2 linked regions of the Lytechinus pictus genome follow. The protein of the gene in region 1 interacts with the protein of each later gene in a biochemical or structural test. Links are inferred from orthologs where the notes say so. Each region holds a gene or a part of one and is shown on either strand. Other genes may lie near its edges.

Region 1 (7,799 bases):
AAAACTAATTGACTTGACAAAGTTTATGAAGCTAACAATGTTCATTTTTTAGGCTTTGATTCTTGGACCACAATCTTCGCTGGAAACACAAAAAAGGCATTCTTTCCTTGTTCCCATAGTAGTTTTAACTCTTTCCTTTAACTTTTTTTCCTTAGCAGCTGAACTCTCCGAGAGAAATCATCACACACGAATAATTTATTTTCCTTCTCTTTCTTGAAGCATTCCACTAGAGCCTTTTTACTCTTTTCCTTTTCCACGGAAGATGAGAAGCCAACATAAATTGGTCTTGGACGTTGATTTTTTACCATGGATGTTGAAGACTTGTCATCATTCTGTGGTCCAGTTCTGTGAGTTCTCTGAATAGTAGCTGAGAAATTGGATGACTTCAGAAAATTGGATACAAACTTGCTGCAATCAGATCCCTCTTGCCCTTCAGGAACATTGTAGATGACCAAGTTGTTGCGCCTACTTCTGTTCTCTAAGTCATCAATCTTGGATTCTGCCAAGGCAAGCTTATTAACTTCAGCAACCTCCTCCTTCAGTGTATCCATCTTGAACTTCAAGGCTGCCTGTTCTTGTCTAAACAAATCAACAATACATTCGAGCCATGCCTGCTGCCGCTTTTCGAATTCTGCGAACCAAGGAGGGGGAGTATTCTCCACAGCAGCGCCAGAGCTAGCGGCAGCACTCTCGTTGTTGGCATCGTGCAAATCTCCCAAAATCTCTAAGCGATTCTCACTACTCAAAGAAGGTCTTTTCTTTACAGGTGACTCACCTGGATCCCTTGGGCTTTGGTGTTTTAGGTGACTCATGATGTTTAACAGAATATATCTAATGACAAAGGTCTGTGAAAGTGTAAAATGAATAAACTAAGGCTGAATATAAACAGACGTCCACCGTGCGAGACTCCTCAGCGTGCCGCCATATTCCGATCCCAAAAAAACCCACTTATTTTTGTCTTTTTTTTTTCAAACTGCATGGAGCCTGAAATAGGTCTGAAATGTTTTGATAATAAACGATGATCGAAATTGGATTTCTGTTAGCGAATTGCAATACTAGTTGAGTGACTTTCTGTACCACCAGGAACAAGGAAAAATTTATTGCCATTGGTTAGACCACCATCTTGACTTTTATCATGGAAATTAGTTGCACAGCCATATAATTAAAACCATTTTTTAACTGGTTTGGGCTGAGGTTGGGCAAATATTTTCAAAATCTAAATGAATAAAAAAAACAAGGTAGCAGGAACCAAGCAATCAAGCACTTATTGTAACAAGGGTTTCATTAAAAAAAAATTGTAAAATTTTTGAATGAAAATTCATTATTCAGTTTTTGTCTCACCTATATAGGCGCCGCTTTTCCGACGGCGGCGACGTCAACACCAAATCTTAATAATTTATAATTGAAGGTTCAGTTTTGAAATGACAGCATAACTTAGAAAATATATGGACCTAGTTCATGAAACTTATACATAAGGTTAATCAAGTATCACTGAACATCCTGCATGAGTTTCACATCACATGACCAAGGTCAAAGGTCATTTAGGGTCAATGAACTTTGGCCGAATTGGGGGTATCTGTTGAATTACCATCATAACTTTGAAAGTTTATGGATCTGATTCATGAAACTTGGACATAATAGTAATCAAGTATTACTGAACATCCTGTGCAAGTTTCAGGTCACATGATCAAGGTCAAAGGTCATTTAGGGTCAATGAACTTTGGCCAAATTGGGGTATTTGTTGAATTACAGCCATAAATTTGAAAGTGTGTTGGTCTAGTTCATAAAACTTGGACATAATAGTAATCAAGTATCACTGAACATCCTGTGCGAGTTTCAGGTCACATGATCAAGGTCAAAGGTCATGTAAGGTCAAAGAACTTTGGCCACGTTGGGGGTATTTGTTGAATTGCCATCATATCTCTATAAGTGTATTGGTCTAGTTCATAAAACGTGGAAATAAGAGTAACCAAGTATCACTGAACATCTTGTGCGAGTTATAGTAGTTTTCAAAATCAGCACTGCTGCTATATTGAATCGCGTGATGCAGGTGAGACGGCCAGAGGCATTCCACTTGTTGTATATTTTCTTTTATTAAAGGTCAAGTCCACCCCAGAAAAATGTTGATTGGAATAAATAGAGAAAATCAAACTAGCATAACGCTGAAAATTTCATCAAAATCTGATGTAAAATAAGAAAGTTGACATGTTAAAGTTTCGCTTATTTTTCACAAGACAGTGATATGCACATTTCAGTGGCATGCAAATGAGACAGTCGATGATGTCCCTCACTCACTGTTTTTTATTGTTTGAATTATACAATATTTCATTTTTTAAAGGTTTGACAATAAGGACCAACTTGACTAAACTATATGGTATTAAACAATGCTAATTCCACATGCTCAGGGAGGAATTAATCGTTGCTTCACTTGACAATGAGGAGAAAATTAGAATATTTCATATAAAATACAAAAGAAATAGTGAGTGGATGATGTCATCAGTCTCCTCATTTGCATTCTGATCAGGATGTGCATATAACTGTTTTCTGAAATTAAGCAAAACTTTAAAATATCATAACTTTCTTATTTAACATCCAATTTTTATGAAATTTTTAGTGTTATGCTTGTTGGATTTTTTTCTTTTTATTCAAATTAATTTTTTTGGGGGTAGACTTTTCCTTAAACAAAAACTGATTACATGACCAATTAGTACTGATTGCGATCAATTACTTTCAAACACTTATTCACTGACACTTTAACAATTCTAACTTTGAGTATCCTCCTATTTCATGAAAATAAACAATAAATTCATGGTTATAAATCTTCTAAAATTTATTAAAAATTGAGTCATAAGCTTTTGGAGTGGATTTTTTCAAAATGAAAATTTGGAAAATGATTTTTGTGCAATCACATTTTGTACCAAATGCCTGTGTTTAGCTTTATTGTCTCATTTACAGGAATTGCAGATTTTTGGTAAAGTTGAATCATTCAAATGTTGCTGTAATTTTGGTATAAATAGGAAGTGAATACTATCCACTTTCTCAAATCATGGACCATAATATAAACACTTCTTTACATAATAATGTAAATGGATAAAAATATATGGCAAGTGAGGTATAATCAGTAATCTTTCTAAGTTAGTTGTATGCCCTAGGCCTAAACAGTTATGTTGTGGAAGATATGAATTGAAAAATATGCTTTACATTACAAATTTGTGATTTTACATGAAAATATTTCTATCATAAGAAAAAAAACCCACTCAGTTTTGTGATTTTTTTTTCTTTTTTATAACACCCATTCCAAAGCACGGAATGGGGTGAAATTTGCTGGATAAAATCTCTGTCTGTATCTGATATTAATTTAGATTGTGTAAGATGAATGTAACTCACAGTATTTAGTGCTCAAAGAACCCCTTTTGAAGAAATAGAAACATATTGCTGAGATAAAGCACTAGATATCTTAGATTTGAATACAGTGTGTTTGAATTTGACAGAGAATCTGCAGTTGCGAAAAGATTCAACGGCTGCAACACCTCTGTAACATTGGAATGCTAGGATAGATGATTGTATTGTATTGTATTTATTTTCCATTCATAAAAACATGCAAAATACAAACAAAATACATCAGATATAATTACAAAATAAAATGAATACATATGAATGGCTGGATTGCCCATTCAGAGTGGTAATTTTTACCACTCTGTTCTGCCTAGGGGTCCAGAACATAATAAAATAGATCAGATTGTATTATAAACATCATTAACAATAGAAAAGAACGACATTAAACAAAATATAAAGTAATGAAAGCTAGTCAGTAGACATAAAACTAAATATAAAGTTACGATTTCAAGCTACAAGCAAATACCCCCCCCCCCCCTTCCCGGCAAAACAATGCGTTGCTCAGATATCAATGTACTTCGAAACCTTAGAGCTCAAAGAAGTAATAAATGTAGTTAAGTTTTTGATAAATTTCATATCTAAAGGTAAGTCATTATATAGGCGTGAACCTCTATATATAAACATTCTACGGCAATTTTCTGTATTTGGTTTTATGATACTTACGTATGACCATTTACCAAAGCTTTGGCCAGGCTTTAAATTGACAATTTCCCCTGCATGGATAGTGTTTTAAATAAGTACTCGGTCACCGTCGAGGGCCAAATCAGTGAACCTTATATTTTAAGCTTGACCCTAACCCAAGTGGCAATCAGGGAAGCATTTCATCAATATTTTCGTCTGACAAAATGTTCTATTTAGTTCTCATTTAGGACGACATTCAAGTTTCAACTTCTCATTATTATCGTTGCAATGTTGTAAATATTCATTTACAACTAAATCTATTGGAATTATTAATTTGTTTACTGTTTGTTTATCTCTACCTTTCTACAACTACCAAAAATAGGAGACACAGCGTCTCAATACTGAGCCTGTACCAGGAATAAAAGCAACCCCAGATGAAGCAAATTGCAGACTATTCATGGTGACAATAGATGGACCCAAAGATGTAAGTATTGCCAAGGAGTGGAATGCTACTTCATGTATTTTCTCACTTTCTCTAATATGGTAAAGCCATTAGGTCTCATCCTATTACATCTATGACCAAATTGTCAAATAATAACTTGGTCTATATTTGCCTTTCATTTAGAATGCCTTGTCATCTGCCTGTATGATAATTCCGAATTAATTTTTACTAATGATTATCTTATTTATTTCTCCCTCTCTCATCAGTCTCCTTTTGAAAATGGGACTTTTAAACTAGAACTTTTTCTTCCTGAAGAATATCCAATGGCAGCACCAAAAGTACGGTTTATGACAAAAATTTATCATCCTAATGTGGATAAATTGGGACGTATCTGCCTTGATATACTCAAAGGTAAGTACAACTATTTTACTAATAAATCTGCATGCTTTTTTGTTCATTTTTTTTGTCTCCCCTTCCCCTGGCAAAATTTCATAGTATACTTTGTATTTATGTGGCTACATCATTATTGTATGCACTCTAACTGCCCCATTTTAAAGTGATTTCTTTGGAATTAGTCCAAAGGTGTATCTTTAAAACTGAACCTTTGGTGAGGCTACCATCAGCATTTGGTCTTTTAGAGGTTACTGTGGAAGATTTGTGTACACTCTTAAGACTGCCTTTCTTGACAGATTACTGCAAAATAGAGGTGTATCGTGGTGTAATTTAAGATGCTGCCACCAGTGTTCTGTTGTTGGTAAAAGTTCATATCGTAGATGAAAAATGTCATGGGGAGATTATTTACCCTCTTATGAATATCAGTGCCAGCGATTGATCCTTATCTAGAGCTGCAGAATGTGTCAAACTGAAATATTGTAAAAACAAGGGATCACATCATTTTTGTCTCGCCTGCATTTCAGAGCGAGACTATAGACGCCGCTTTTCCGGCAGCGGCGGCGTCAACATTGAAATCTTAACCAAGGTTAAGTTTTTGAAAAGTCATCATAAGAAAGTATGTGGACCTAGTTCATGAAACTGAGATATAAGGGTAATAGTGTATCACTGAAGATCATGCCAGAGTTTCAGGTCACATGACCAAGGTCAAAGGTCATTTAGGGTCAATGAAATTTTATGATGTTGGGGGTATTTGTGAATTTGTCATCTTAACTCTAAAAGTTATATATATTTCATGAAACTTGGTCATAAGAGTAGCCATGTATCCCTAAAAATTCTGTGCACATTTCAGGTCACATGACCAAGATCAAAGGTCATTTAAGGTCAATGAACTTTGGCCATGTTCAGGGTATTTGTTGAATTGGCATCATAACTTCGAAAGGTTATGGATCTCCACATGTAGTTCATAAAACAGACATAAGGGCAATCAAGTATGAATGATTGTTTTGCACACATCTTAGGTCACATGATCATGGTCAAATGTCATTTTTGGTCAATGGACATACTGGACTGTGGACATAGTATTTTATTATCACATGACTATGAGTTAGTTCTTTTGTGAATAAAAAATTATTAAATATCTGTTTTCAAAGTCAGCACTGCTGCTATATCGAATCACGTAATGCAGATGAGACTGCCAGAGGCATTCCACTTGTAGTTTAAATTATGAATAGATTTGTTAATTGATGACTATACAATATACATTCCATTGTGAGGGGAGATATGTCCTGGATCACTTAATTATTCTCAATTCATTGACATTAAACTCTCTTTTTTTCAACTCACATATTTTCTAAAGCTCTAAACTCATCTACACAGTTAGAGTGTGCTCTCATTATTCTTGAGGGAGTATCATTGTCTTTTATTTAAGCAAATTGTCAGCATTCATGCTTTCTTTATCAGGTAAAAAAAATCACCACCATATATCAAAAGTCAATCGAGTCACTCCTGCCTATCCAGTAATCTGGTGAAGACATTTTGTTTAGAAATGAATGATCATTGAGGCAATTGTCTTGGTGGTGTATTTCGGTATATGATATTTAATAGTCTCAAGGTTTGAAAGTATTCAGTGTAAAAAAATGTACATTAAATGGCAGGATAATCCTTCTTTGATGTTTGCAGACAAATGGAGCCCTGCTCTTCAAATCCGAACAGTGTTGTTGTCAATTCAAGCCCTTTTGAGTGCCCCTAACCCTGATGACCCATTAGCAAATGATGTTGCAGAGAGTTGGAAGTTAAATGAGGCTCAGGCAATTAAAACAGGTGAGTATTTGAATGTCTCATGCATCTCATACCTGATTATTGAAGTGTCGCATCCGATTACTTCAGCCCCCTTGCCACTCAATTCAATTTCCAAGTATGCAATATCACAGAAATCTATTAAAAGAGATCAACCACTTACTTAAATAACTAAGCTATACCTGAATTAGAATGACTAAATACAAGAAATTTTAAGTCCACTTCTATGGACTTCAAGTCAATTGTTCATGCAATCTGTAATGATGATAGTGAATAGCTGATCATCTAAGATCATCCCATACAAATTGAATTACATGTATTACTATTAATATTTTCCATCATTTCCCAGCTTTTTCTACTTTTTAGCTCATCTGGCCCTTGCTGTGGCGTGGTGTCTGTCGTCTGCCGTCCGTCCACAATCAAAATGCTTCTTCGCTATTTCAAGTCCGATTTCAATTCTGTTTGCTTTATATGATAGCACTAGGTGGGGGGATTCAAAACTTCTACACAGAATTTGAAACTCAATAAATATGCTTATTTATGCACACTTTTATAAATTCACAAAAAAATGCTTCTCCTTCTTTATTTGTTGACAGATTTTGAATTTTTTGCTTCCATCTGGTAGAGCTTGATGAGGTTCACCAAACTTCTACACAGAATTTTGAAATTTTGAGTAGAACAATTTTTATGCTAATTTATGCGTATTTTTAAAAATTCACCTAAAATGCTTCTTCTTTTTTAATTGTAGACCGATTTTTATTTTATTTTTCCATCTGGTAGAACTTCATGAGGTTGTCATTGACCAAACTTCTTCACAGAATTTTGAAATTTTCAGTAGAAAATTATTTATGCGAAATTTATTCATAAATCACAGAAAATGCCTCTTCTTTATTTGTTGACCAATTTTGATTTTTTTTCTTCCATCTGGTAGAGCTGCATGAGAGGTTCACCAAACTTGTACACAAAAATTTTGTTTAGAAAATTATTTTTGCTAATTTATGCAAAATTTATTCATAAATCACAAAAAGTGTATTTTCTTCTTCATTTGTTGATCAATTTCAATTTTGTTTGCTTTATATGATAGCTCGAGGTGGTGATATAAAATTTAACACAGAATTTTGAAACTCATTAAATATGCTAATTTATTCAT
Region 2 (7,374 bases), on another chromosome or scaffold:
AAAATGTGAGAGTCGCAGGTGCGGGAGGTCCTGATATGTCGTCGTGACAATTTTTTCAAGAATGAATATTTGTTGTGTGAATGAATTAGCGAGGGCATACCTTGAGATAGCAGCCTGCCCTAACTCCGCTCACCCTGATTGTAGTATGATAATCATTGTAAGAGTATAGGGCCTAAACGGAATTGTCATAATTTTTCAAGTAGACTTTTCATTAGAATCTGATTTTTTGTGTCATTTCCTCTATTTTGATGGTGCTGAACATGAATTCGCTTGTTGCCAGTTTCATAAATGCCTCCTTCCGCCGTTGCCATGGCAACTGATTAATATGTTTTTAAAAATAACATATTGAGCCTATATATATGGCATATTACCCTGTCAATTTAAATGGTCCAATCTATCATTCTTAAGCCTTCCAAATTCAATTTCTAGATATAGGCCTATCAAGTCATCAAAGCTTTTTGCGAAAGATCCATTGCCATGGTAACGGCTTATCTTTCCCGCAGAAAAATACAATTGTCTTGATTGCCTGCAGAGACAGGGCGCCGCTTTTTCCGACTGCGCGGCGTCGTAAACATTGAAATCTTAAAACAGGATAAGTTTGTGAAATGTAATCATAAGTTTGAAATAGGCCTATAGGTTTCTATAGCTTTCATGAAACTTAGAAATAAGGGAGTCAGTGAAAATCCTATAGTGAGTTTCAGGTCATGCCACGGTCAAAGGTAATTTAAAGTCAATGAACTTTGGCCATGTACGTTGGGGGCATTTATTGAATTGCCATCAAAAATCAACATTATGGTGGGAAAAGATGAATGGTGGAAAATGACAATGAAAATGCCAAAAATCTACATAGGTTCGACCAACTCATTTAAATTAAATTTCGAAAACAACAGAGTGTTCTGCATGGATATAAGTTCATTTGAATGCATGGTAATGGTATGTTGCCATGGTAACGCCTGATTACTCTACTAATTCAACTCGTTAATTTAATATGAGATGAAAATTAAGTGTAAACAATGTAGAAATGTCTGAATTTATTTCAGGTCATAATTCAGTATAGGCCTACCTCATAAGAAACATCGCTTCAATAAGAATAGTGGTAATATTTGCTTGACAATACAACTTTCTATAAGATAAATCAGCTCGATTGATCAGCCTATAATATTATGCTCAATATGTTAGCTATAGAGCAGATTATAACTGTAATACATGAATAATAAAGTAAGTCTTAAAAGAGATCGAGTGTCATATGAATTCATGAACAAATTTTTTTTGCTTGTCAAATTTTCCAGCCCCTTGCCCCCCCTACTTTTTGGGAGAGATTTCCGCCCCTGATTCAGAGAAAAAACGAAACATTTTAAGCACTTTTGTAATGATATTTTATCTTACAAACCGAGAATGACTTGAAAACAAGACATGAATAATGAAACAAACGGGCAATGCGGACGCGAAGCGCAGGCTGAATAGTTATTCTGTTCTAAATGAAGGGTACAGGTATTTGTCGGTCCCCCAACTCTCATTTTCGTCTTGTCTTCTTCCTTTTATTTTCCTTCCTGATAATCTTTTTTTTTTCATTTTATTATTTTCCTATTCCGGCCTTGATTGATACCTCATCCGTTGTTGTCTATTTTGCGACGCGGCCATTTTTTCTTCTTTATACTCTTTTACATTTTCCTCTCTCACTTCTCCTTCGATTTCATCTCTATCTCCCCCTCTCTCTCCCGCTCTCCCTTTAGCTGAGGGTGACGGCAAATAAAAGCCCCTCGGTCGTCAACGATTTATCATGGAGCAGGCAGATAAGCTGACGTTCACAGAAATGTTGAAAGATGATCAAAAGAGTTTGTCACTGTTCACCAGAAATATTTCGAGATTTAATTGTAATCATTGTCCCGGCCCAAAGTGTTTGGGAAAAAGTTTTACAAAAATTATCTTGCTCTATAACGAATCGTAGGGTCATCAATGCTAAAAAAATGAGACTTCGATGTTTATCAATACCGACGTACAAACAACTATATAGGGATAGTTTTTTTGTTTGTTCTGGGGTGAAGCCCCTCCCCCGGTTCCGCGGCCCCTGGCATGTCTTCTAGGCTATTATCGATCGTAATGCTGGTTTTTTTTAATGTGGCCTATTCATATTTTGATGATTACCAATATTATTTACTCTGAGTATGAAATTTAGGGATAATTCAATTGGAATGAAACAAGGATTTTATACACGTCACCTCAAATAGATGTGTAATTAGGCCTATGTGATAACTTATGAGCCTAATGATACATATATTTTATGTTAGGCCCATTATCTGCATGCCTATCTGATTCATATCTATAAATCTAAATAAAATAAAGAATTTAAATGAATAAATTTTAAAAAATCCCACTAATGGGCCTATATATAGGCCTTTTGAGCTCGGTCAGTAGTTTCCTGATTGATTTGAATAGATGAAACTTTGTCATGTTTCTGGAGATTTCCTTTTTTTTATTATGTTTTGTTTGAAAACGGAACAGGATTTAAATTGACCAATTTATTTTGAACAAATAGAATTTTCTTGAGTGCCTTTTTCCCTCTCCTATTATTGACGGGAGTTAGAATATGAACTTAAACCAGCGAGGTGATTAAATATTATTGTTGTTTTTCAAGATGAGCTTTTTTTTATGAAAGTCAATATAAGGGAATCCCCCCAAAAAATATTATCGGAGTTCAGGGTTTAAGGTTTATGCACATCAACATTTCACATTTTCAAAAAATCAACAATTCAATACAAACAATAATATTATACAATACATGTTTTCATAGATAAGCATAAATAAACATCGTAAACATATGAAATGTATACATAATAATAACAATAGAAAAAAGTACTAGAATGTATTCTTGTAATTGGTTCTAAAATAATGACAAAGAAAGAAAATGAGAGATGTGGATATGATGGAGCTAAAAGTAAAAGCAAAGCTTGTTGGTTGAAGGCTCCAAAAAATATGCAGTGAGAGTCCCATAAAATATCAATACGACAAGAAAAAGTAGGGGAATAAATAAAGAGTAAACGAAAAAGTAAACAAAAAAGTGGGATACACGAATACATACTTGTAAATGATGAGTCAAGACAGTGTCAAAGCAGCAAATTTGAATTAGAACCTGAAGGAGGATGCAAATAATTATTTATAATAGTAAAAAAAAAATAATAATGGAAATCAATGGTCAATGGCATCAGGGGGCAATGAGCGGAAGGGACGACAAGGGGGGGGGGGCACTCAAGTTGGATGAGTGGCGAAAATGATTACTTTGAAAATATGTATTTTATGAAAAAATACGGAATAAAGTTTAGAGGATTAAAAAAAATGATAGGCCTATAGGCGATGATCAGTAACAAAAAGTTTGAGGCCCTAAAAATAATTGCACTTGGCGAAAGGAACATTTTATACAGTGTATAGTACTATAAAACTTGTAAACAATACATTTAATCACAACAAAATTACACACTTTCTCAATCAGAAGTGCAAGAAAAAGGGTAGAAAAAAAAAGATAAGTATCAGGCCTTATAAACTACATGTATGAATGCGCGCGCTAAGTGAGCGGAGTTAGGGCAGTGGTGAGCGGCGAATGGGACAGGCGCAAGGGGTGCCGAAAACGGCGAATTACACAGCGGTGCTTTGAAGACATATAATTATTATCCTATGAAACGATTTTCCAGTATTTTCTCTTTCAGGTGACATAGAAGTAAGGGTATCATAGCTAATTGAATGAAACATAAAGGAAAATACGTAAACTGAGCGACGATTGGGCAGCGTACGGTACCTCGATTTGAGGATAAAAGAAGAAAAAAAGGTAACTGTCGGATAAAGTGCCGGATAAAATGGGACTTTTATAGGGCCTACTGATAATGTCCGACAAGTCCTTTCGTGAAACGCTCAAACGGCTCGCTGATCCCCTTATCCGGATTTACGGGGAGGGCGCTGTATATATACGAGCGGGAAAATTTGATGTTTTGCACGATCGACTAGGGAGCGCGATCGCGATCGAGCGCGAGCGAGCAGCGCATGCAGGCTGCGCTGCTGCGCTAGCTAGCTAGCTAGCTAGGCGCTAGTGCGCGCTATAGCGCGATAGTATAGCCACAGCGTCGATACCGAGGAACTACTGAAACGAGGGGGAGAGAGAGTCAACATTTTGTATTTGTAAACATCCTTTGATTGGTAAGATGCTCGTCTTTGCCATAAAACTTGTTACAGTTGCTTGAATTAAAATGAGTCGTTCTTTTTATAAAAGTTTTATTCTTTCAGAAATTCAGGATAAATACCGGTACATGAATGTTGACCGGCCAGACAGTTCAGATCAATCAATGGTGCCTCACACCTTGGCCTTGTCTGCGCACCCATTCACTTAACGTTACTCGTTAGACCTATAGTCCGGTCTGTTAGCGTCAAAAACACCCTACTTGTGGACACGGTGGACAAAAGCATGATTTTTTCTCCAGACCTTTGATTTTGTATAAGAATTAAAAATGGGGTATGCTCCAAAAAATCTGGCTGCAGGAACAGAGAAAAAATGGGTGAAAAAGGTCAGAATTTATGAGTTTAGATTGGTCTGATATATAGACTAGCGCTAGTGCAAAACTCAATAGCAGTGCATTATTTTGCATTGGTTTAGTTCTTAAATTCAGACCCTTTTTGAACAGATGTTCTGTTTGTCCTCACATCTCAATGCACCAAAGATCTGAATGCAGATGCTAAACAAGCCGAAGGGTGGCGGTGGAGGGGGTTGGATGTTGGTATGTATGTACATATTTTGGTCTTGGGGTAAAGATGTGCAAAACACATTTTTTGCATGTGTTGGAAATGGTGTTGCCATGGTAACAGTGTATTATGGCCAAAATAAGGTAAAAATCTTGCAGTTAGAACTACTTCCTCTGTTTTCATCCGATTCTCATGAAATTCGGCACACACATTGGTCTTGAGGTGAAGATGTCTAAGACAGATTTTTGTGTGTCTTTTAGAAATCTCGTTGCCATGGTAACAACATATTATATGGTGAAAATTGGGAAAAAACTTACAATTCAAACTGCTTCATCAGTTTTCAATCAATTCACATGCAATTCAGCACACACATTGGTATTAAAGTAAAGATGTACAAGGCACTTTTTGTGTGTTTCAGAAATTGTGTTGCCATGGTAACAACATATTATATGGCAAGATTTAGGTAAACACCTTGCAATTTGAACTACTTCATCAGTTTTGAAACAATTATCATGAAATACGGCTCACACATTGGCCTTGAGGTAAAGATGTGCAAGAACTTTTTTTTTGCATTTGTCAGAGAGTGCATTGCCAGGGTAACCACATATGATAGCTAGAAATGCAGGAAAATTCATCGTGGATCAATCTACTTCTCAGTTTTCAGCCTGTGCTCATAAAATTTGACACAAATATTCATTTTGGGTAAAGATTCATATTCAGTGTTAAAGGGGAGGGAATCCAGCCTTGGTCATAACATGTTGTGTGGAAAAGGAGAAAAATAAGAATGGTGAAAGTTTGAAAGAAATCGGACAAGCAAAATTTATGGCTGCTTTAAAATTAAGATCCCTATAAAGACTACTAGTATGTAGATTTCAAATTGGCAACTGGGTAAGTAAATTATGACAAGGGGCGAGGCCGCAAGGACAACTTTCCCATAGGGCTTGTACTTAATTATCAGGATTTTTGGTTTCTCCTAAATCCCTATTCCATTGGGGCCGTAATATGAACCTGGTAGTATATTGTTTTATGTCCTCATGAAAGAAAGATATAATATAAAATAATATAAAACTTTTGAAAAAGACATTTTAGCCAATTAATTATTCCTGTACATGGAAGAGTGGTCCTTGCCTTACATCACGATGACATCACATATGCGGCCAATTTGAAGTCTTCATGGGTATAGTGATTACCAATGTTTACAACTTTTATATATTCACAACTTTCTTATGGTTTGTCCGATATTGTTCAAACTTTGACCTATAAACTTGTCTGATTTTTCCTTTTCCTCTAAAAACAAGTGTTTATTTGGGTTGGATTCCCCTTTAACGTCATATAATAGCGCAGGGTATTAATCACCTTCAATAATATTTATAGGTTCTTTTTTTGGGGGGGGGGCAGAGGAGGTCCTTAAAAACTGACAACATAAAAATATAGAAGGTTAAAGGCCATGACCATTAGGAACTTAAACACTCTTAAAAAAAACACCCCTTTCCATTTTTTTTTTTTTTGGGGGGAGGGGGGGCTTTAGAAAATTGCCACATAAAGAGTAAAAGGAAATTATTACTAGGAACTTAACCCCCCCCCCCCAAAAAAAAAGGGGGGGAGAAAAATCCTTTACACTTCAGCATATTAATTTAAAGCCTAAAACATTCTGCTTTGATAAAAGATTGTTTTCGGTGCCCAATTAATCAATGTTTTATTTATCTTCTTTTGCGCAGTCTTTGTTCATTTCAGTTCTTACTCTGACATTCTTACATCACTCTTTGTACTTTTGATCTTTACCATACCTTCTTGATTTGTTTCCCCTCTCCCCCTCTTTGTCTCCCTCTCTAAGTACATTTTTCTCTGCTATTTTAATTATTTATCTAGCAACAATTATTCCATTTTGAATGCTTACACCTTCACCGAAATATAACATGACATTCATTTTTTTCATAATCTTTTAAACTCCATTTTGGCTACACTCTGTCCTGAATAATACTATTAGCAATAGTTAATGTCTAGTTTAAAGAATTGAAGAAATGACTGTCATGATATTATATTTTGGTAAAGGTGCATCAACTTCATATTAACAAGGTTGCAGCATTCAGAATGGAATAACTGTTGCTTGACAAAAATGGATTTAGTTATTTTCCAAAAATCCTCTGTGAAAATTTTAGTTTTATCACTGAGTTTTCCCATTCCTGCAGTTACCACAATCTGAAAGGGAAATGACTATAATATAATTATATGTAGAGAAATAAAGGTCATCATTTGCTCAATGTACAGTGAATAAGTTTGTCTTTACTCCAATGGAAAATTATTTGCATTTTTTAAAATGACAGTCAGAGTTTGCATCCAACAATTTTGCTACTGAAACATAATATTCATTTTTTGACAATGGGAGATGTAGGATAAAGCAGGGGCTGTCACAGAAATATACTGAAAAAATTAAATGAAAGAAAATAGAAGGCTAAAATCTATTGTGCACATATGGATATTTTTGACATGGTATGTTCTTGAGTCATGGATTTGCAAGTGAATTTCTAAAACAAGTGCAGAGATTTTTGTATGTATTTATATTTCTATAATTAGTTGCATGATTAAAGGTACACTTTAAAATATGTCAGAAAAAATATACTTGGAGAGAGAGAGAGTAAAAAAAGAGAG

The links. The genes of interacting proteins can lie anywhere in the genome.
Region 2: the proteins of ubiquitin-conjugating enzyme E2 N (region 1) and helicase-like transcription factor form a complex in vitro, tested with the Homo sapiens proteins (2 studies listed by BioGRID, with this or other methods). The link is inferred for Lytechinus pictus from reciprocal best matches to the Homo sapiens genes UBE2N and HLTF.

What each region holds. Positions count from the first base shown.
Region 1 is NC_087247.1:55,174,904-55,182,702, reverse strand, and holds the start of ubiquitin-conjugating enzyme E2 N, read left to right. Parts: upstream 1-4,397; 5' UTR 4,398-4,474; coding exon 4,475-4,501; intron 4,502-4,725; coding exon 4,726-4,870; intron 4,871-6,532; coding exon 6,533-6,673; intron 6,674-7,799. UniProt on the Homo sapiens protein: The UBE2V1-UBE2N and UBE2V2-UBE2N heterodimers catalyze the synthesis of non-canonical 'Lys-63'-linked polyubiquitin chains. This type of polyubiquitination does not lead to protein degradation by the proteasome.
Region 2 is NC_087260.1:4,433,518-4,440,891, forward strand, and holds the start of helicase-like transcription factor, read left to right. Parts: upstream 1-3,952; 5' UTR 3,953-4,185; intron 4,186-7,374. UniProt on the Homo sapiens protein: Has both helicase and E3 ubiquitin ligase activities. Possesses intrinsic ATP-dependent nucleosome-remodeling activity; This activity may be required for transcriptional activation or repression of specific target promoters.